Linked DNA regions of Lytechinus pictus. The protein of the gene in region 1 purifies or fractionates together with the protein of each later gene. This does not show direct contact. Links are inferred from orthologs where the notes say so. Each region holds a gene or a part of one and is shown in the gene's direction. Other genes may lie near its edges.

Region 1 (12,667 bases):
ATGAAACTTGGACATAATAGTAATCAAGTATTACTGAACATCCTGTGCAAGTTTCAGGTCACATGATCAAGGTCAAAGGTCATTTAGGGTCAATGAACTTTGGTCAAATTGGGGTATTTGTTGAATTACCGCCATAACTTAAAAAATATATGGACCTAGTTCATGAAACTTGGACATAAGGTTAATCAAGTATTACTGAACATCTTGCTTGAGTTTCACGTCACATGACCAAGGTTAAAGGTCAATGAACTTTGGCCGAATTGGGGGTATCTGTAGATTTACCATCATAACTTTAAAAGTTTATGGATCTGATTCATGAAACTTGGACATAATAGTAATCAAGTATTACTGAACATCCTGTGCAAGTTTCAGGTCACATGATCAAGGTCAAAGGTCATTTAGGGTCAATGAACTTTGGTCAAATTGGGGTATTTGTTGAATTACCGCCATAACTTTGAAAGTGTGTTGGTCTAGTTCATAAAACTTGGACATAAGAGTAATCAAGTATCACTGAACATCCTTTGCGCATTTTAGGTCACATGACCAAGGTCAAAGGTCAATGAACTTTGGCTTAATGGGGGTATCTGTTGAATTACCATCATAACTTGGAAAGTTGATGGATCTTTCTCTTGAAACTTGGACATAAGAGTAATCAAGTATCACTGAACATCCTGTACGAGTTTCAGGTCACATGATCAAGGTCAAAGGTCATGTAAGGTCAATGAACTTTGGCCACGTTGGGGGTATTTGTTGAATTACCATCATATCTCTATAAGTGTATGGGTCTAGTTCATAAAACGTAGAAATAAGAGTAACCAAGTATCACTGAACATCTTGTGCGAGTTATAGTAGTTTTCAAAATCAGCACTGCTGCTATATTGAATCGCGTGATGCAGGTGAGACGGCCAGAGGCATTCATCTTGTTAATTTCTAGACGTTGGTTTGCCTCTATCCATTGAAATTCAGAAGATCTCGTACATGTACACTGCCGATATCCAGGTGATTTTCCTACACATACCATTTAAATGCTAATGGTAAATGTTTACAAAGGACACCTGCTGGCCAAGAATTGAGAATAGCCCCTTGAAAATTGAAGAGGAAAATCTCTTCCATAAGAGATTTAAAGCAGGGTTAGCTACTTGAGTTGAACAATAGAGGGGGGTAGAGAGGATGAGAGTGTCATAAGTGGAAAGGGAATTTAATGACAAATGTTGTTAGATGGATGTGAGTGTAAGACATGCTATTTCTCTAAAAAGAGCAACCTTTTGTCGTGTGTCTTAAATATAGATTAATACTGACTGACAGTTTTTTTTAATTTACTTGGTCCGAATGGTCATCCTAGTATCTGATGAAACTATAGAACTTAAATTTTAAATGATAAGCTGATTCAGTTTCATTTAGATTATAAATGTTCCCTGCCACTATCCAGATCTGTACTTATTTAAACTAGATTTATTGTTCATAGATCAGAATTAGGAATAACAAATGATAACTTTTTTATGGTGAATATTGTTAAAAATCAAATTTAGTTAGGAATTAATTTTGGTTGGAAACTCAATACCCAATGATTTTGCTAAAGAAATATGACCACCTCCCTTGAAAATTGCCTACATTGTACATGTATAAAAGTGAATTTTCAAATATCCTCATTGTTGTAATGCTTGAATTGATGTTTATGGAAAAAGAGCTGTACATTTCATGCAACTAAATATAATCTTGTTATCTATTCATTAGAACAATGTGGCCTAATTAGATTCCGCACTTGATCAATCCATACCCATCCAGATATTCAAATTGGCCACTTCATGTCTGTAGTAACCAGCCTCGCCGGCTAGCCTCGGTGCTGCCAGTTAACATAGAAATCAATACAGCCATTGGTAGCTGGACCTTTGTGTAGTCCCAGGCTAATTGTCCTGGTGTTGGTAATGAGTTCCGGTTGAGGGCGGATGTCTATTGTGACATGCAGTCGATAAATATTGTGAGCGAAGGCGGAGGTGGTGATGGACAGATGGTTTTCTTGGGAATCGGGTCAGAGGAAAGAAAATAAATAATGAAGGAACAAAAGTGACAGAGATAAAGTTTGAGGGGGGGGGGATGGAATGATAATTATAAGATCTAAGGGTCTTTAGCAAAGAATTGATAATTTGAAGACAGTTTGAAATTTCCATAATACCAAGTTATTTTTGGAAATATTCAAAATAAAGACCAATTTTCTGATAAAATAAAGGGGTATGAAGGGGATTTCAAAGGAAGTGATATAATTTAGATTTTATTATTTCAGTAAACGAATGCTATTAAAATCATAGCCAGTGTAAATTCCTTCAGCAAGAAATTTATCCACATTTTGCTGCACTCTACCCAAGTGACGTATGGGTATCCAGGAAGGATTACTGGAAACTTGCTGGCTCAAGAGTAATAATTTTCAAGTTCCTTTGGAAGTTCATACATGTAGAGATGTATGTGATATGCGTTATACATGGGCTGCGTTTATGCGACCTCAAGCCAGAATCATGATTTGAATCATGGTTTGAATCATGATTCAAAACACAAACATGAATCACAATATCACAGAATCAGCGTTTAGACGACCTTCATTCCAATGCTGTTTCTCCTCAGATTCGGGCCAATCCAGTGCGCATCACTAGTGCGCAGTTTGACAGAGGAAGTTTTTCGCACGTGTTTCGGCTCTCGAAAATTCTTTTGCTTCCATCAGAATTCAGTCTATACCTCATTTTGTTTACTTCTATCATAAAGGGTCCATATGCTTCTATTCATCTTGTTAGTTTATCCAAAATGGTGTTTGGAAGTGAATTTCAGCGTAGATCCAATTTGATATTGATACTGTATACTCAACAACAACTGAGATCATTGTCTGTCCAGTTAATCCATTTACTAGAACTTGAAGTTGAAGACATGACCAAAAAATCAAAAGTAGTGGACGATGCGATGACCAACCCAGAACTTGAACATGACAAGAAATGAATTCATAGTACATAGTCATGTACATACAATGAGCATATAGAGCGCCTTGAGCTTGGCAAGAGTCAAACCGAAAGTAGCCCGACGCAACAGTGAGGTCATATAATCATGATTGTAATCACGATATCGTTTATTCGAACATTTTCGTACGTGATTCTGCAGAAACGTCTTTCCAAACGCCCCTTTTTTCGTGTTTCATGTTTGTGATTCTAATCATGATTATATTCAATTTCGACTAAACGCAATCGTGATTCTGCAGAATCATGATTTGAATCATGATTCAAATCATGATTCTAGGGTAAAAAAGTGGCGGATAAACGCACCCATGGACTGAATATCATAATTATTAAAGAAGATCAGTTTGGGAATCTTATGGGGAACATTCCTGTGGTTTTGTCTGTCTATCCATCGTCCCTTGGTGTTTATATTTGATGTTTAGTTTCAGAACAGTAGTTCCTGAAACTCTTTTGAAAGGAACATCAAACGTGAGGGTAGCGCCTTTTCTGACTTGTTCTGCTTTCTCTTCAAACTCTGCTCCATTGTTTTCTACATGGACTAGATGTGTGATAGGTCTGGTTCTATTTACTTTCATTTACCATATTCAAGGCCATAGTTAAGAAGATCTGATCTACTTGTACTTTGAATTATTTTTTGATATGACTACCATGGTACTGTAGTCGTAAAGTATTGAACTTGTAATGTACATTTACCTGTCATGCACATAAAATATTTTTTTTTACTTGAATGATAAGACACTTGGCCTGCCAAGTTACTTCTAAGAGGCTTAACATCAATTTATTCTGTTGGCATTTCGAGAATCCCTTGATTGACCATAATTTCCAGTCATTTTCTGGAGATGTATTTTGAATAAAAAAGGTTTAACGATTAACAGTAATGTTGATTGATCATATAGTTGATTTGAATGATTGATTGCACATAATCATTATGTAATTCATCATATAATCAGCCTTGCAATCGAATGCTTAAGTTTGTGTCCTCAGGGTATAGAAAAAGGATAGAAGATGCAATAGAGAACATCACCCTCACCCTCTGTCTTTATTCTTCACTCGATCATCAACACCCTTGGTCATCACTTCCACTTTCACTAAGATCGTTTAAAGAGCAGGCCATAGTAGAGCGGCACTCCCTCCCATTAGAATCCGATACAGTGCTATTGCAATGGTCTTGACAGAGGAGAAGACATGGTGAGGTTCACAGATGACAGAAATGTTGCAATGTGCTCCTTTCGTTCTGTTGTATCTCTTTCAGTGATGGGGATTTAAGAGGTGGTGCTGAATAAATGTTTTGCGTTGAGGTATTTATCCCAAAGAAACAAGACGTCATTGTTGTTGTTGGTGTGTAGTCGTTGGCGTAGGGTGATGACTTTTAAATGACCCAAAAATCTATTTTCATTCATTCCTTTCGTCAATGTCACAAAAGGTTTGTTTCTCAGTGATTTCATAAGTCATGGGAAAGGGTGTGAGAAAAAATGCTAGAAATGAAGGCGGAACATCAATATAGACGAAGTGAATGTAATTATAATGTGTAGAGGTTCAAATTCTCTCCACTGACTTCAAATATATGTATTATTGGTATTCAGTCCTTTCTTGTGAATTTGAGGAATATTTCCAGAATAGGTCGAAATTGTGAAAGACGAGTTCACATTTGTGAAATTAAGAATCATTCTTGGGATGTATTATGGTATGTTAGCACATACAAGAAGAGATATTCACGGGGGACATATGAAACTTGTAATATAATCTTAGTAACAAGGTTTGATCGAAATTACTTCAGTAAGAACAATAACCCCAATAAATTTAAAATTATTCAAACACTGGATAATCATGTCTTTCATTGCGATTAGATGATGTGTTATTTTTGTAATGAAGAATATGATGCATTCAATTATTTCCTTCAAAGATTTAGCAAGTAAATACACCAATTCGTACAATCCCATGTTACCAACTGATTATCTGTCAGTCATTAATCCATCCTCCCCTTCACCTTCCTAAATCCCCTTTGCCCCCTCTTCAAATCCTGTCGGACAAGTCTTCATTTTATTAGAGAAAATTGACAAACAATTATCTTGTCATCCTCCTCCAGTCACCCACAAACAAGATTATAGTATTGATCCAAGCTGAGAAAAACTTATCCAAACCATTTAGTTAGGCAGACCCTCCTGTCCCTCAAACCCATCAATCATCATCCCCGCCCAGTGTGGGTCTATTTATTGGAAGGGGGGGGGGGGGGCAGCGTAGCTATGGTTGCCTCCTTTAATTGGGTCTATATATGTAGTACGATGGAAAGTAAATTCCCAAATTATACTAGTCAGAAGTGTGAAGTTGACAAATGTGCATTCTAAGGTTGTTAAAATTGCCATTGCTGAAGAGATTTTCCATGAAAATATTTGCCATTTAATAGTCTAATAAAAAGAAAGTTGGAAAATTAATACAAATTCTATCTTTATGATACAAGATAAAAGAAACTTGGCAATTAGTACAAATTCTAGCTGTATGATACATTTCCCCAATCAAACTTATTTTGTCCTTTCCATAGCAATATTTTTGTATTAACCCCTTTTCATTTTGTCTTTATATGTACCAAACTAATAATTGTTTTTCTCCCCCAATGCTATTTGGTCTGTATCTACAGAATTAGTTTATGACACCTTCGGGACAATTTTCATCAAAATGACATTTCATCACCAAAAAATCCTGATAACCTTTAACCTTTGTTAGGGAACCCATACACCCCTAATGATTGGTAGTAGTTTCTAATATCCCCCACCAAGCTTTACATCCCTGCTTGCATTGAGGGTTACTAATGATATTCAGAGGTTGATATCTACTAATGACCGTGTTAAGAGATTTCAATAGTTGCCTAATGGATGTGATTGAGGAAGGAAATTTCAATCCAGTCAAAACTTCATGCAGTTGCCATGAGATGGGGTCATTGATTTGTTATATTAGATAAATATGGTATATAACACTATCTATCCCAAAGTGATATGATGAAATAAAATACATCAAAGCAATGAATGAAAATTGCATTTAAAGATATGCTTCCATCTTTACGAGTTGTATTAGCCAGAGCAGTAAACGGGAAACATTAAAAATGAACAGTGAATAAAGCAGAAGAACATTAAACATGAAGAGTTTTTATGACCGGTTATGGCGACAGTGTTGACTAAGGCTGTTTGGGTTTGCATATTGATTATCATATTCATATGTTGCTAGATACGGATTGAAATCTGTTAGTTTCAAGGTCAATGAACTCTCCAGGTCATTGACATTGATTATGTGACGGGGTCATAGAGCTGTCACAAATGATGCCATTCATCTTTTTCAAAGAGTTATTTCCATTTTCCATTTTTTACGAATGAAGGGTTCTATTAATATCATCTCTCATAATCACTGGAGGTAAACGTAAAATGAATACAGATTTTTTTAACAACCTCCCATAAAATATTGTGAGGTTTATTGACCCTCTGAAAATCATATTGATTAGCATAAAACTAACTTCAATGAAGTGAATTGTGACTCTGGTGTTATTGTAAACACTTGTGGGATTTTGATACAGACATTCAGGGCCAATTACAATGCAAGAAATCTTTTGGAAAATAAAAAAAAGGCAAAACAAATCCATCCACCCCCTTTGAAAGAAGTTATCGTGAAAGGAGACATTTTGATTGGAGCTGAAATGGCAATTTAATGACCATTCACTCAAAAGACAATTTCATGGCGTGCTTTGATGGAGAAGAGTGAGCGTTTTACTCAGAGATAATCATCGGGACAATGGAGTCTATAGACGACCACCTTTCTCTCTCTCGGTCTCTCTCTCAGTACCATGGGTCACGCAGAGAAGTGCAATGCATGTAATTGCTTTTGTGTTTTAGTGGTACGAATGAAAGAAAGAAAGGAGAACCCAGGCTGCTTCAGAATGGTCATCTCTTATTGATAGTGAAAACAGAGTTATAGAGAGACTGTTTGTAGGGATTCAGTTCAGTCTGTTAGAAGCTCTGCTCCTGATGTCACTGCGTCCCACGCATGTCTGTTGGGGTTCAGTCAAAGACAATATTGTTGAATCGGACTATAAGCGTCCATCATTGTTTTTGCGTTGTGAGGCTTTGCTCGGTCAAATATTCTATTCTCTGGAATCATCCTCGGTACTTTTGTTGAAGTTGTGTATGTCTTTTTAGCATTGGACATGCTTTCTTCTTGAACTTTTATAATTGTATGTGTGAGTCACCATAGGAAGGGACCCTTCCAGCATCCTCTCCACTTTGCCACTCAACACAATGAAAGCAGTTATCCTCTAGGACAATAACATTGCACCCTTGAGAAGATAAATGGATATAGAGTGGGGAATGATCTGAAGAGCAGCGTTAAAATCTTCAAACTCCATTGAGGAGACTGAATCGGCTCTAAACCTATTCTCCTTGCATGATTAGACTGGAGACATTTAACAGGAGGGCGCAACGTAAAAAAAAACCTTGTGAACCCAGTTAGTGGGATTCCTGCAGGGGTCCGGCCATTCAGTCATCAGCGACCCTTGTCAAAGAACCTGGAGTAGGGAATACTCTTCTTCAATCCCATTATTCACAGATACATTAGTATTTATCCACCTCGATGTCTATTTATCTTCAGCTATATGGGGGACCTCTTAAATGCATTGCATGTGGAAAGTCCCATTTTGCAAATGATGATGAGGGTGATTCCTTGTCTGGTAATACTAGCTCCAGGATATGTTCCTTATAAACATTCTCAGTGGGGTTAAATCAAAGCCGTTGCTCCAAGCGATCATCAGAGATGTGTCGCTCTGGTGTTGGATGTTAGCAAAGCAGACATGAAACTTGTCTTTCATTGTTGCCAATTTGGTTGGGCAGCCGGTGTAACATTCCACGCGACAGAATGTCAACAGTTGTGATTTTAGATATGATCCCTTCAATGGTCTCGACAGTACAGGATCCGATAGCATCGATGAAGGCATCAATGGTGCATCAACGAGTTGTGAGATGCATTCAGTATCATCTTCAAAATTTTCCTCATGGACCCCATAATGCAGTGTTCCCGTGTTATGGTTATAAGGATATTTGCAAGTTTTTATGAATATTTGAGGATCCGTGCATAGCTTTATTCATAATCACCATTCGCGGTGTGTTTGTGCACAGAATACATACGTGTATGATTTGTATCTGTTGTGGAAACAGTATACATGTATCTATCATTTCTCATCATGTTTTATGTACAGCGATTTGACATTTGCAATTGGCAAAGTTGCCATTTCTTGTCAGTTACGATTGGAAGTGGATTAAACACAATCAGGAATTACCATAAACCTTTTCATTGGATTTCCGCTCCTTGATGAACATCGATTAGCATGAGATTGTTCGAATAAAAGACATTGTGCGGTTATCTTTATCAGAGTAAAACAATTTTCTTATATATCTTGTATGGGGAATTCCGCGATCAAATCCCCACGCTGTTTTTGCCTGCCCCCGATCCTCTTTGCCCGTTCCACCCGCTGCCACCCCCGTAGTGATAACCTCACTTCGGCTCGTTCGGGCGTCCAGATGCACCTCGTAGCGGAGGCCTATACTTTCTATTCTTGCCATCATTATACAGGTATAGCCATGATTCATGTGTTTCTCTCAATATTCTTTACTAATTATTAAATGCAAGCATTATGTATTCAGTCTGTGTAATTCAGGTCCAAATGCACACTTTCAAGAACATTGAAAAACAAATCCTAGTAGTTACACCTTCAGCTATTTTCTAACTCATTTTTGTCACTAATTTGTAAAAATTGCAAAGTTGTTGAACGAAATAAAATTGAATTTATTTTGCAAAACATTTAGATAATTTATAAATCATTATTCTTCATGTATACATATGATAATAAGCCAGGACATAAAAAAAAAAACAAGGAACAATTTACTTGTAGATGAGACCCTGATAAGTTGTACCATTATGGGTAACTTTCAGGCCTGGTATTACTTTCTGTGGAATAATCTTTGGACTCCAGTTTGGAGGACATCTAAATTATGGGTGACGTTGAGCCTGATGACCATGATATTCGCCATTGGTGGCAAGTTTGATATTAGATTATATGTAATTGGGAAAGATATTTGGGGCAGTCCATTGGTTCAGGAAAGTCTTGATTGCTGCTTTCTAAAATAGGATATATTAAAGTGAAGTGCTTGAAATTGCCAAATGTCAGAAAAAAAGCAATTAAAAAAAAAAGTCAATATTCTTTGGTTCTAAAGCTATTAAGAAACCTATATGATTTGAGAAAAGGAATATGAATGACTGCAAATGAATAAAAATGCTAAGCTGGCTTTTTTTAGGTACTATTCTTGATAAAGTTATTAAGTATAAAGTGGTCTATAATTAGTTTCAGGGATCTACGATTTCGCATTTAAAATCTGTAATGTTCAAGCTTCTCTCCTACCGAAGACATTGTGAGGGATAAAAGCATTCATGATCTCAGAAAATAGCCGGGGGATTTGAAATCCATTGGGCGCAAATCCCTGATGGAAATAAGATAGATTGCATCTAATGGAGAGAAGATCTACAAATATCAAGCACTAATGTAACCCTTCCACAAAACTTGTATTGTTGTGTCGGAAGAAAGGGTTTATATCTTTGGAAAGCTTTCCATTTTTATTTAATCCCTTATTGGGGTTCTACGATGATGGGATGACCCATTGATAGATGTTTGTGAATGTTTTTTTTTAAGTAGTCCCCATCCAATGTATTCAATTATGCTATTATGTTAGGTTGAGTGAAGTAATTCTGAGTTACTACTCTTAGAGGCAAGATAGAAATAGAAATGTTAAGCCGTTAAATGCAACTTGGAGGCACTTCCCAAGTTCCCACAGAGAATATGTGCATTTCATGTAAGAAATTGTGATTTTATGTAATATTAATGAAAAATATGATATTATATTCAAGTTGCAGAATGTTAAGGTTTATTATTGAATTCATATTTGGGTTTTAAAAATACATATACTTCAACAGATGTTGTTTATTTTTTACATATTTTGTATTTATGTGTATGCTGAATATATGTTTAGAAGATGCATACTTGTATTGTATGCATATTTGGGACAGGAGCTCTAATGTTCAGTGTATTGTTCTCTTTCTCTGCATGAAATTTGTTAACAATTAATTTTGCTCTCACTTTTCATTTACGTTCATACTTCATACTTCCACCTTTGCACAAAGACTGCTTTCGTATATCCATTGGGTGGTCTTTTATGTACAGGTTTTACTGTAATTCAACTTTCATTGATAATACATGGTTTCTTTGTTCATTATTGGGCCATGGAGAAACCAACCCCTTATCCATGGTAAATGTAGAGCATATGCTACAAATGGCTACAAAGACAATTATTTAATATTCCAGTTATTTCATTTGTTGTGTTTTTTGTTTGTTTCATAAGAAGAGTATAAATTAAATCTGATTAGTTAAGTAACAGTTGTATTTGTATCTTTTTTGTTTGTTTCTTTGCAGTTTCAAGGAGCAAGAGAGATCATCACCATCGAAGCGGGCATGGATACGAGAGTTCGTCAACGTTGATGAGCAGCGACATCGACTCAACGAGCTGCTTTGACTCAACGGACGATGACAGCAGGTTTGTTAAAACTCTTTTGAAGAATTCTGAATTATTTGACTTTCTTCAGCAGATCATCTGCAGATCTATAAATCGAAACTCATAGACCTATGTAAGAGAGAAGTCTACGTTGTCAATTCAGTAGGCATATCAATTAGTATTGAAAATAAACAAACAAAAAAGTTTAATAATAGTCAAAGTGGGTGACATGCGACTCTACGACCTGCTTTGACTCAACAAATCTTTTTAAAACAATTCTGAACTCTTTGACTTCCTGTAGCAGATCATTTTCATATTGTACCTGAGCCAGAACTCCTTACCTACACTGTACTTTATGGAGAAGTCTACCTTTTTTTTCCAATTCAATTTATGAAAGATAGACTAGAATCAAATATGCCAAACTGTGAATTAATCATTAAAATTGAGTGACATCGAGTAGACGAGTTACGGTACGCATGATCGGAACTTGTTCTTACGTGCTAAGTCAGCTACTGAGGTATATATCATCTAGCACTGGGTCACCGATCGTGCACAAATTCATGCATAAATTATGACCAGCTTTATGAACTGGCCCCCAACACCCATCATGTTTAAAATACTCCTTTGAAAAGATTGATGAAGCCTTCACGCAAATTATGAATCATGGAAGTGGCACGATCAAATTACAATATTACGTTCCTATCACTCTATCCCATATCAAATTCAGTCGATGTATGTATTTTGTTATAGTTTACATAGGCCTCCTTTTTAAAATCGCCCCATTCTGTCAATAATCTGGCAGTATACCGTACACAGTGCTGTGAGAGTTCAGATTTTTATCTGATTTCAGATTTTTTTTGTTTTGATTTTCAGCTTAATTTCAGCTTATTTTTGGCCTTCCTCCGTACAAAAAGTATGGGAGCTCTTTCTATTTCAGACTTTTTCAACACTCTTCAGCTCTTTTCAGATCTTTTTATTTGTGACCACTCACACCCCTGACCATACATCCAGACGCTTCAGCAACAGTTTTGCTACGGAGAACAACACGTTATCCTAAATTGAAGTGCCCTCGACAAGACTCAATTTCACCCCTCTTTTAATAATCAAGTTTCTCCCCTTTTCCCCAAAGCAAACTCATCACCTGTGTCATTATTGACATTTATGGAGAAAGAAATTATTCATAATCTGTGTGCAATATAAACTGATAGGTGCATGCCAAGAATCCAAATATTGACAGACCCATATGAAGGTTTTTATGAGGTTTTCATACTGTTGGACAAAGTCCTTGCGTGGAACTTATAGTCTGTTCAGACTAGAGGAAATGGTATTTGAAACTGTTATTGTACATGTAGTGTAAAAGGGGCACAAAATGCATTTTTTATTTAAAAAAATTCTTTATTACACTAGATGTTCCAATTCAATTTATTCCACTCTAAAAGCTATTACTTAGTAAAATGCCAGAAATAGTGGTGGGATTTTCAAAAGCTCAAATAGTGACTTATTCATTAAAAACTTGTCATTAATTTGAAACTTGTTTTGCGGTGTTAAATATGGGATCATACAACTGCCAACATGAAATCAATATTATTTAATAAAGTAGTTTGATGAGTTAGCAATCCCCAGTACATACTAATCTTAAAAACGATCATTTTGACATGAATTGGCTCTGGTTCTTTGAATTTATTTATTCATTTCTTCTTTATTTAACAGGTTAGCCCCATCAGTAATTGCAATACTGTCATACTAGGGGGCCCTGCGTATGAATGAATATAAAGAAAATGTCTTTGTATGTATATTTGGTTAGAAGCATTGCTGATTTCAAATATATTTTGAGGCAAGATGGAGTCCCCCTCTAAAGGATACATTTGTATAATATGCATTATGATATGATTATGATATAAGTTTGAGTGCAAGAAATTTAATTAGTCTAAAAGGGGGCTCAGTGAGGCTTCATATTTATCTAGGAAGTGTGAAAATTTTCTCAAAGATCTTAATCTTTTTGGCATGCTATTGAATTTTGCCTTGGAACATGTAAATATTAACAATTTTATTGTGGGGTTAAATGTGGAATAATTGGTTGAATACCCCAGCTGT
Region 2 (12,405 bases), on another chromosome or scaffold:
TTTGTATAGAAACTGAACTCAAATTGATAGTCAATTACCCAAGAACAAACACATCTATGAAAGAAAGCAAAATAAACATTCATGAATAAATTAAGCAAATTACAATTTTCGAGAACATTGTGGCGTACGGGACACTCAAAATGTGTCGTACGGGACATCTCTAAATTGAAGCCAAACTTTCTTACTTTATGTCTCTTTGACTTCTTCAATCACTTTAGTTGGCTCATGATAATGATAATCCTATCAAACTAAAGACATTCATTATGTTAGAAACCGCTATTGGCTGAATATTTCTGTCAATATATCATAAACAAAATAATGTGTCGTACGGGACACTTGTGTGTCGTACAGGACACTTCTGTGTCGTACGGGACACTTGTGTGTCGTACGGGACACTTGTGTGTTGTACAGGCACTTGCGCGTTGTACTGGGTTGCCTAAATAAAACAATTAACTTTTTATCAATCAGAAGGGGAGCATTGCCCCAAAATTCTTCCTTTTAAATGCAAAGTTTTTTTTAAGTAGTCATTCAGGACAATATAATTAAGTAACCTCAATACATACAATCGGGAGCAATATGTTATCATTTTTTTTTCATGATGGGAAATGTACAAGGGTTCACAGCATTTTTACGAGCTGAAAAACTTGAGGATTTGTGTGAAGTTATATCTTAGTGAATTAATTGATGATTTCCAATACACTATTTAGAATGAATGAAACTGTTTGTGTAAATTATGGGGCTAAAATGTTATAATTTTTTATATAAAATGTACATGATATACACGTATGTCACAACTGTCACTTGTAATTCCACAAAATATTTTTTTTCTAAAGAAATGTGGTTCTACTTTTTCATAACTTTCTGCATTTCATGAAACCATAGGGTTTGTCTTATTTTCCAGATTTTTTTTGAACAACATGGTTTGTGATTTTTTTTTACAACTTGAAAAAAGTAAGGAGTTTCAATACTGTATATTATATAAAAAAATTAGTGATCAACAAGGGAAGTCCAAATAGATGATTGATATGTAATTTTTTTTTACATCTTATAATAATTCCACATTAGCATGCAAGAGGAAGTCATCTTCCAGGCTAGAATGAATCAATTATAAAGGTTTTCTTTTCATGCTCAATGACAAAGAAATTAACCTGCACTGACCAGTGAAAATCACCAGTTTAGCTGAAGGGATTCACAAAAGAATACGCCTACATGAAATAAATTAAAATGGTTAGAATCACCTATTTCATATACTATGGAGATAAAAAAGTACTTTTTCTGTTCACTTTATGTCAAATCAATTACTTGAATTAAAATAGGCCTACTATTTATAGTTTCTGAATCCAAATCCTGCAATTAAATGCATTATATATTGTGTGTCGTACGGGACAAATTTTAATAAGACAATTATTGAAAAATGAAGGGCAGTAATTAGATCCTTATGGGATAAATCGATCACCCATGGGTCAAAGAAAGAGCAACTGATATTGTGAAATTGCATCATAAAAAATAAAATTGTAGGAAAAACTTTTGCATTTTCATGTGTCGTACGGGACATTGCCAAAAATAGGTTAGGAAAAATCAGGGCTGCCCCTATTATGGATCATGAAAATGTTGTAGATATTATTTGGAACCATCAATGATACATTATTCCATTGACCTGCAATATTTTCAATCTTCTCGCGCTGTGCCAATAATTGTTTCAGGCAGTGTTTGTACTTGACTATTTAATCAGCAAAATTATTGAAAATTGAAAATTCCATTGTTCCCCCCCCAAAAAAAACTATATCTGACTTCACTTTTGGTTAAAACTCATAATTTTCAAAAAATTTAGGTATCATAGTAAAATATTACACTACTTGTGACTTATTGAAAGCGTGTTGAAATTTATGACATTTTTGAAGTTCTAGTGTGGAATCGCCCTAATGATAATGGTTTTCATAGTGATGATGATAATGAAATCTTATCAGTACTGGTGGTGATGATGAGGATGATGATGTGATGATGATGAAGATGATGATAATGAGATGGTGATGGTGATGATGCTAGTGTTGATGATGGTGATGATGATGGTGGTGGTGATAATGATTGTGAAACCACTCTTGTCACAATGAAATAAATGTAATAGAAAAGAATGGCAATGATTATCAATGCCTAATACCAATTATAATTTTTCTCCTTAAATAAGTCTTTATGCTACTTGTGTATATACCGGGTGGTATAGAACCTTACAGTTAATACAGTGTATGAACGAACAGTACATGTACCGTACTACTGTACATTAATATTACCCAACAGTAATCAGTTCTCTTCAATTGATACTGAATATTCACCACAAATGCACCTGTTGGCCACAGTGTACATGTATGATGTATCTAGCATTATTTAGCAATATTAAAAAAAACATGCATGTAGCCTACATGTACATCCTTCATAATTATTCATCGACCTACATGTACATTAATCATTTCATTCACCTTTTTATTATTATTTCATCAAGTACATGTACATGTAAAGCATACACAACCACCTACAAGTAGACGTAACCTTCTCCTACTCCTAGGACTTCCCTATTATTTCAGTAGGCCAACCTACATGTACACTGTATGTTGCATGACCTCACATTTTATTTCTGTAATCTGGATGAGTCACAGGGCATAATTCATCATCATGGATGGAGGGATTGAACCATTACTCAATCTATTGTCCAGTACTGCAATGAGTGTGTGATATCCGCAGCATAATTCCTCACCCCTGTCAATGGCAGATGGTGGGGAGTCAGCCGCAGTTGGTGATGAAGATGAAGGCGTTAAACTGTGGAAGAAGCACTGATTCTGATATTAGGGAAGGAGGGGTGGGAAGTGTTGAATAAATTCTGTGGTCTCTGCGTGACTACATGTAGGAATGTAGTCTGATGTGCAAACCCTTCACGCGAGTTTAAGGGTCTGAATATGCATCCTACTCATGCCTTGTGTGCTGAAGGCCCTCTAAACAGCAAGTTTTGTACGTGCTAGTCTTTGCTGGAGAAACACTTGCTGATCAAAGTTTCAATCAGGGTCTGTGTCTGCAGACTAGTAGGAATGTGGGTTGTTGATCGGGAAATCTGAACAACTATTTTAGAGTGGGGGGGGGGGGTCTCCCCCTTCTCTGTTATTTCACAGATTCTACATGTACCTTTAAAAATGGGTGAAAATAATGTACTGAGATTTTACTACACTGTATGATACATACATATATGTACATGTAGGCCTACATACTGTACAGACAGTGTACATATTAAAGCCAATTAAATTTCTTTACCATTAATTATGCCAGAAAAACTGTCACTCTATCTGTGAATAGTCATGGGTAGTATGCAAGCACAGACTCATATTTGACACTTCAACCAATAATGGGTCTAGAGTGAAGACTAGATTCCAATGACTCTGTGTGTGTCACCCACAGTGCATAGTGAATCTAGTCTCACCAATTCAGACTCTGCATTATGCAGTATGCGAATTGTGAAAACCAAGGGTTAAAGTGTCGAAAATGGGTCTGTGCCCGCAGACTAGTCATGGGGATGGAAAGGGGGGGGGGGGGGATGGAGGGGGCAGGCACGAAAAAAAATATTCAAGCATGGTGTGAGCACTCCAAGAGATTGTAGCCCTTCAAGGCATGCCTCATTGCAAAGCCTCATCATTCATATGACATCAAATTTACAAATGTCAGGAGTGGGATTGATTCTATTGATTTAGGATTTCAATTTCATGCTCCCTCTCCCTGCCCTCTCATATTGCCTTGGTCGATTCCCCTTCCAGCCATGGATAATTACATGATCGAACAGAAGTGTCAGCATAGTCTGCAAGCACAGACCTATTTTCGACACATTAACCAATAACAGGTCTAGAGTAAAGACTAGACGCCAAAGGTTCAGAGCCAGCCACGGTATAGTGAATCTAGTCTCACTACTTCAGACTCCGAATTATGCAAAAAAGAAGGGTCTGCGCCTGCAGACTAGCCTCATTTTATCTTCCAATATTGCTCAGTGTGTTCAATGAATTCACGTTTGACTGTCCCTAGTTTGCCTCAATAGTCCACCTCCTCAGACCTACAATACTGTACATCTTGAAATGGGGTCTACCAATGATCTTCACTATCACAGAGAAATTGGAGATGCTATTCCAGTCTTGTGCATTTTATCATATTAATTATTTCATCTAAAACATCTCTGGGCTTCCAAATGATGTTGAATATATTAATCTCTGGTTTTTTGCCTGGCAAGCTATTTTACAGCACACAAGCATTTCAAGGGATAGGCCCAACACATGTACACGTTTCCTGCCAGGTACCCAATTCCATCACCTGGGTGAGGGCTGGGGTCCTTTTGTGGCAAATGTGGTAAATGTAGATTATTGCCAAAGGATGATATAGAAACGTATCCATTCGATCATCTCTTGTATTCCAGATGCTCTACACTGTACATTTGGAGAAAAGGAGAGGAGGGAAGTTTTAGGGAAGGAGAGAAAAAGAGAGTCAGGGAAGGGGACAAAAATGAGATTGGTGTGGTAAACTAAGGAGAAAACAGACCTTCGATAACCCTTAGGACTACATGTAGCTACCAAAGAGAATGGGGCGCGAGTCATTGATGCTTGACAAGCATGTATTGGGAAATTGTATTGAGGCAAATATAGGAAGGAGAAAGGGGGCAAATAAAGGAAAGGGAGAAGGGACGATTGAGGAAAAGGGGAGAAGGGAAAATAGAGGAAAGGAGAGAGGAAAAGAGATAAAGAGCAAGAAGAGAGATCAGTGTGGAAAACTACAAAGACTGCAATCCTGTGATCACCCTTAGGACTCGCTACCAAAAAAGAATGCAATGCAAGTCATTGATACCTGACAAGCACGTAGTGGGAAATTGTATCGGGGCAAATATCTCGGGAACCAGATAGGTGAAGTCAAGACCTTTCATTGATCAGGATCTCTGATGTCCAGATCAATGGCTTGGCTCCATGGCAGGGCTCCGTTGCTGGGTATTCAGTTGTACCCATCTACCAAGAAGCTTGCAGGACTTGCATTTTACATTATAACTCAAGTTCTTCCATTAATATAATAATAATTTATTTATTTATAAAGCGCTTTTTGCCTGAGGATACAAAGCGCTGCTATTATTACCCTGGCTTAATCTCGAGCATGGACCTACTAGTAGATCCATGGCTCAAGCTACCATCACCGGCGCTCAGTACCCATTCACCTCACTGGGTCGAGTGCAGCACATTGTGGAACAAATTGTGTTGCTCCTTTTTTACACTGAATCATATGAAATATTATACTGGTAGTATGAAAAATAGTTAATTTTTGTGGATTATATTGATAAGCAATTTTATGGTTTGATTAAAAGTATGTGCATCTACGTGCAGGTTTTTAAGGGGGGGGGGGGCTTTGGGTAACTGCCCAATGTCACAATGAAAACTACAGATTGTGAAAGAAAAACAAAGTGCCAACTACACTTTAGATTTTTATTTTTTTGTGAATTTAATTTTGACACTGCTCAGTTCATCGAGGCTTTGATGGAGAATTCTCCCCGTGATTGATACGAATACTTTCCATGCGTAAAAAAGTTGTTTTTCATTAATTCAGTTGGGGGAGAATGCACTTTATAGCTGGATTGATGGGTAGAGTCCCACGGGATATACTGCATCATCAGTATTCGAGCATAGATTGTTCACATGATTACACATTCACTCATTCACCCATACATTGTGGGCTGTGCAATTGCACTAGTCTACAAAGCGCAGACTCAAATTTGACACTTGAAGAAATTATACTGCCATGTACATGTAGGGTGAAAACTAGACTTCATTTTCTCTGCCTGTGTCAAATAAGAATAGCCACACATGAGTGAATCTAGTCTCCTTTCAGACTCTGCACTACATGTATGTAAAAATTATGAGGTTATGCCTTCATACATTGTGGGTTGTACAATTGCACTAGTCTACAAAGCGCAGAGGAGACGCGGTAGCTCAGTCGGTAGAGCGGGGCATTCGTTTTCCAGTACCCCGGGTTCGATTCTCACTTGGTGCGCTAGTGCCCTTTGGTAAGGCATCAATCCTCAGTAACAGGTCCTTCGGAGAGGACATTAAGCCACCGGTCCTCTGGTTGCTTGCTTACAAGCATTCATGCTTTCTTTAATAGCAATCAGGTAAAAAATCGCCACCAATATATATAAATCACCAATATACATGTAGGCCTACAGTGTATATTGCACAGAGAAGATCCCTTTCACATTGCAGTACATTAAATATTTGCTTTCTTGCTGCCAAAAATACCTGATATTTTATGATAGGTGTGCTGTAGATCAGAGAGTAAATTTCCAGATCCAGGGGGGGGGGGCTTCATGGAGTCGAAAACAGCCATTTTATTAATTTTAATTCAAATCACCTGTATGCAGCTGGTACAAAAATGTTTAAACGACTGTTGTCGACTCGCCGTACGGTCGCCGTAGAGCAAACAGCTTTATGAAACACCCACCAGAGGTCTGATATTCTCGAACAAGTTGGTCTGAATACGCCTCCATATTATTGGAAGCTTAAATGTCTGGTGCAGGGGCTCATGGGATTGGTGCAGCTTATAAACAGGTCACATGACCAGCTGTTTGGGTCAAGTACTGTGTAGGGGTTGATTCAACATTCGAAACTCTGACATAACATCAGCCACATGGATGTCAATTCAGATTATCATGATTTTTGCTTTCGACTTTACTTTCTATGCACACTGCATACTCCAGTGTCTGTTTTGCTGGTTTTCTTTTGCAATTCCTGGGAATTTTATATAAAAAAAGGTATAAATACTGTTACATGGATGTTGTGGCAGTGATACAACATTTGTCCTAGCGACACCTGCTCCGTTCTTTATTTCATAATAGGGTGAGGGTTGCAATAGGGTCTTATATTAATAGGGTTAGGGTTAGGCTAGGGTTGTGTTAAGTATTAAATCCAGTGTTGAAAATGGTCATTTGAATAGTTTGTGGAATTGATGATAGCGGAGCAATTGTTGCCGGAGCAAATGTCATAGAATTGTAGTGATAATCGCTAATTTTTGTCATAAAGTTCTCATTATCCAACAGTTACCATAGCTAGCAACAGTTACGGTTGGCACAACTTGCCTGGTGACAAACATTGATGAAATGCTCCCCCGTTCTTTTGTATTCCAAATCAGCAAATAAAAGACTGTCCACCTTTTTTTTTCTTGTCTTTCCCTCCAGATGCAGAGATAATCATTCAAACTGACGGTCACTGCCGTATTCATCAAGACTGACACGGGATCGGGAACACCGCCCTCTGGAGCCAAAACATTGAAAATGGATACCGACGGTGCTCCTGAAAATGCTGATGATAATGGGGGGTTCCCAGTTACTCCGCAGCCTCAGGTACTAGAATAGGTTTTTAACAAATTGCTTATAATTGCAGTCACAGTTTCAAATTCAGTTTGCTAATTTCAATTATGGTAAAGTAAAGGTTCATGGACTTACCCTTACACTCCATCATGGAATTATATTTTTTTGGTCAAATTGAGAAGAAGAATCCTAAACAAGTTCAAAATGAATGATTCAAGGATGAGTACATGTGAAATGTGAAATTCCAGCAACTCTTAGGGATTTTTTTTCCCCTATACAGTTATGATTTACGAAATGGCAAAACGGTTATGTTTTTTAATAGCAGTCATTTGAACGGTAGTACATGTATGCTTTGATTCAGCCCTAGTAGGCCTACAGGTATGTGTAAAGATTTTGAAAAAAAGCTAATTTGCTAAAATTATTTCACGATTAAAAGGCCAACATGAATCCTTGATAATTGTGTGGATTTCCCCTACAGAACCAAAGTACAAGGAGCAGTAAGAGCTCGAAGAACAAATACCGTGACCGGGACACGGACGAAGACAGCGAGCGTGGCCACAGGGGGCGACGTGGTCGGCGACATCGAAACCGAGAGGATTCAGAGAATGATGGAGAAAATAGGAGACACAGCAAAAGACATTCTCATGTAGAACGATCAGTAACCATAGCAACGCACGGAGCTACAACCGACGAGGACAGAGATGAGGTTTGTACAATAATGAGATGTACATGTAATAAAGGATTTTTTGTAAAAAATATTTTACTTCGATATAGTGGAATACTGTCAAAATAAACATGGTAAAAATAGGGTTGATTTTGACTTGCACAAACTACAATGGCTGTATGAGTTGAAAAATGTTTAGACATACAGTACATGTACGTGTACATGTAGGTAAGCCCATTTAATTGAGTTAGAGCATTAATTTAGGCACAAAATCACATGTACAGAACTTATTGAAAGCCTTCATGTACACTGTACTGTCCATGCAAATATGCATGTCTAGACACTGTAACATTGAAAAGTAGAAGTCTTCCATATGTTGTGCAGGGCTCCCAGAGCAGATTACATACATGAATAAAATGTATGTAGTGAAAATCAATGACATCAAACATTGCACTTCATGCAAGGCAGGGTTCTTGAAAAGGTTGCTCAGTGAATGACATGGTAAATTGCCAATTCGTCCACTCAGCACATGGTCTACCTTCATTTGGTCCAATAACCATTTGGTCCAATCATCACTTCGTCTAATCCCCGGTTCGTCTAATCCCCGGTTCGTCTATTACCATCTTGTCTAATAACCAGTTGGTCTAATACCCATTTTCTTTTCATTCATTTTGCATAATTAACACTTTAGTTTAATAGACCACATGTATGGTATATGGACTAGATGGCTATTGGACCAACTGGTTATTAGACGTAATGGCATTAGACTGAATGAGGGTAGACCATGTGGTGAGTGGACAAACTGATGGTAGACCAAATGATAGTAGACAAGTTGGCAATTGGACGAATTGGCATTAGACAAATTGGAAATAACCATGATTGTCACTTTACAGATTATAAGAAGCTACTGCAAATACTTGCATCTGATTGGCTGAGAGTAAAGAAGTCAGCAAAAATCAAGTACAAAACCTTCCATGAAACACTCCCCCGGAACCCCCTTTTCGCAAATAGCTACAACTATAATTGTAAATGCCAGTCTGCCATTATGTCAATTACCATGGTAACAGTGCTCAGCAGCCAATCCAAATCAATTTTTTTTATAGAAGTTACAATAGAAGTGAGTTTTTATTAAACAAGGCATATGGTTTATTTTACCAGGTGAAAACCATATCTCATATTTGACCTTGTTTGACCTCTGAATGCCTATCTTGGGATTATCCCAGACTCCCCTAACTCCAGTTATCCAGTCTCCTCTTCTTCCAAAGGAGCAGGTGTAATAGTCTGTGAAATCTTATCCTTAGAGGCAATACAAGGAATGCTGGTCTAGAAGAGTTTTATTTCCTCTGGATGTAATTGGCGATTGATTTATGGATACATAGCCATGTGTGGTGCAAAATGATTTCCATCATTTTTGTCCAAATAGCTATTCATCCATTTTTTCTCACAGATGCATTTTCCCCAGAAAAGCAGGGATACTGATTTTTCATGTTATTAGGTGATCTGTCAATCGACAGATCAACTATTAATTTTGTACAAATTTTCTTTTTTATTATTTGTTATTCATTTTTATTTTTTCGCCCTTTTCTCGTTCGCACAAAATCTCAAAATCTACATCAACAATTTTCTTCAAAATATCATCAGTTATGGGGACTTATCATGTCATGTGTATAAAACAAGTTCAAGGTCAAAAGGTCCTCATTTTAAAAATCACATCAATCATACCTTCGTTATCAATTATAAAAAATCAACCATATTTACATCACATCTTCAGGTGACGGGTCAACTGTCCATGTCATCAGAGGTCATGTAAAGGTCACGACGTGCGCGTATGCGTGCGTCAAAATTGTAAAATGCTGAAAATCACTTTTTGACCAAAATATCATATGAATCAGGTCATTTTAAGCATTTCAAAAATTTGCTCGCGCACACGGTTACGCGGGCGTAAGAGCACTTTTTTATTCCCACCACCCTTCTCTGTTTGTTATTGTCCAATTTTCATGTGGTATCTTTACCACTAGCCTATCCCTGAACACATCATATAACATTGTCATCCACAAACCTGACACATCATTATCAACAAATTCATCATGGCATGTTTTCTATGCACGCACACATTCCATACCTAGAAGACGGACCCAGTATCATAAAGCTTAGCGATCGACAGTGGGGCTGATCTTTACGATTGATGGTATACAATAATCAGTGCAATCAATCGTAGAAAACAGCCTCATGATCAATTGCTAAGCTTTTTGGGCCTTTCCTTTCCTTGCCTCACATCCCTCACATAAAGCTTTAGTGATCGATAGTAGGGCTGATTTTTACAATCGATCGTATACAATAATCAATGCAATCAATTGTAGAAAACAGCCTCATGATCAATTACTATTAGAGCTTTGTGTTATTGGGCCCTGCCTTTCCTTGCCTATATGCCCTATTCATGAAGACAAAAAAGAAGAAGGGATGGATTGAACTTGGTTGATAGAGGTAGAATTTGTTTCCAATAGAATCAGAGTATCTCTGTATCTACATGTAGGCCTAATCCCTGATCATCAATACCTGAACATTTTAGACGCAAGCTCTGCTTTTTAGTTGGTCTCCTTCCCTCTCGAATTCATGGTATTATTATATTATAAAAGTTGATTTAAATGTTATATTTTGTAAATATGTATATTTTATAGAACTATCATTGTAGATATAAAAAGATTGAAAGATGAATAAATGAAGAGAATTTAATAGAGTTAATTTGATCAAAGAGATACCTTGATTATTTCCCTTTTTGCATTCTTACATGTACATATAACTTTCAGGAAACTAAAGCATTCTAAACTGTCCGGAAAGGATTTGAATTTTGACCATTCTGAGCTCTTGTTTTGTATTAAAAATAATCATACTTTTCTCAATAATTCCACACTCTTGGATCTATAGAAAATCATGGTACTACATACATACACATACACTGTAGACCTATATATCTCTCCTATAATATTCCTCTGGGATAAAAAGGCCTTTTTGCTAGTCTAAATGGTTTTGTTCAATTGCTGCATCTTCCCTTCGCCCACAAACATCATCAATCATATATTAGTAGGGGATTGTGCTGTCAGCTTGTATGTTTTTTCAGTGCGAATGAACTGTGTTTTGTTATGACTAGCAAACCGGCCTAACCAACTCATCACTCTACTCAACCAAATAGACAAGCAAGATTGCTCAAGCTCCGGTTGATATCAAACCTCCTTATCTGGGCCTGAGGTTCTATTTGAGGTGCACAGAGGCTGTTTGCCTGAAAATTTGTTGCTCAGAAATGTCAACATTTTAATCTGTTTAGTACTGTCTACATGTGCGCCTATCTGCACAGGTGTTTGTACATGATCTTCATTTCTACATTCAGAGAATCAAAGTGAATGTGGGCCTATAAATTTTAATACACCATGATAAACATGTATTTAAAAAAAGGAAATTAGCATTAAAATTTGTGTTGTGCACTATGGTCTATGTGTATAGGCCTACAACAAAATATGTGAAATACCAGGTGATAGGAGGGGAGTAACAATTGCCATGTAGTTCAACAAAAATTATGTTTAATGCACAGCCTTTGTGCATACCTCGTCCTTTCTTTGTACAGTATTTGAATTTTGCTCTTGCAATGGATCTAATACCGAATACTGTCATACAGTGCACACAAGCCCTTAGATCACAACTGATTTTGATAGGTTGTCACAAGGCATTGTTAGCACGACCTGGTTCCCAGTGGTTCCCAGCGCAGCCTACATGAGGTTCAGCCACCCACAAGGGGCTATCATGGCCCAGGGGTCATGAAAATGTTAGATGGAGCTATTTGAGGTTTTTATTTATGCGAGCAGGATACATGAGAAGGAGATTGGGAAGTTTGAAATACACCCAAGCTGTGTTCAAGCAACCATAAGAGAACGCTGATACAAATTGTACATGTAGGGCTACATTGTAGTTATTGCAGGGATTGTTTTATATTATATTCAATCAGATACACGTATGCCTATTTATCATCAGTGCTGATTTCTTAAACAGATACATGTATGCCCATTTATCAACAATGCTGATTTTTCCTCATTTTAATGTAGCATGGTTGAAAAAAATCCCTGCTTCCCTGTACAGTATGTTTCAGACATACATGTACCTTGTACATATGTACAAACGTTACCGATGCATGCATAGCATTAGTTAGACTTTTTTAAGGAACCAAATTCGGTGAGGGCCCTGTCACATCGTTCTGTACAAGCCTCGAGTGTGACTTGCAGGTATAAACTATTTTTGCTCCCCCGCAGGACACCGCAGTTCGCCCGCATTGACATTAACTTTCACACGCATCTCACAAGCAGTTGCCTGCAGAAGCGCACGCAAT

The links.
Region 2: the proteins of segment polarity protein dishevelled homolog DVL-3-like (region 1) and vang-like protein 2-B purify together in Drosophila melanogaster (affinity purification with western blotting; 3 studies listed by BioGRID). This does not show direct contact. The link is inferred for Lytechinus pictus from reciprocal best matches to the Drosophila melanogaster genes dsh and Vang.

What each region holds. Positions count from the first base shown.
Region 1 is NC_087258.1:11,336,774-11,349,440, forward strand, and holds the start of segment polarity protein dishevelled homolog DVL-3-like, read left to right. Parts: upstream 1-6,865; 5' UTR 6,866-8,431; coding exon 8,432-8,603; intron 8,604-10,494; coding exon 10,495-10,615; intron 10,616-12,667.
Region 2 is NC_087252.1:12,407,327-12,419,731, reverse strand, and holds the start of vang-like protein 2-B, read left to right. Parts: upstream 1-7,232; 5' UTR 7,233-7,330; coding exon 7,331-7,399; intron 7,400-7,844; coding exon 7,845-8,072; intron 8,073-12,405.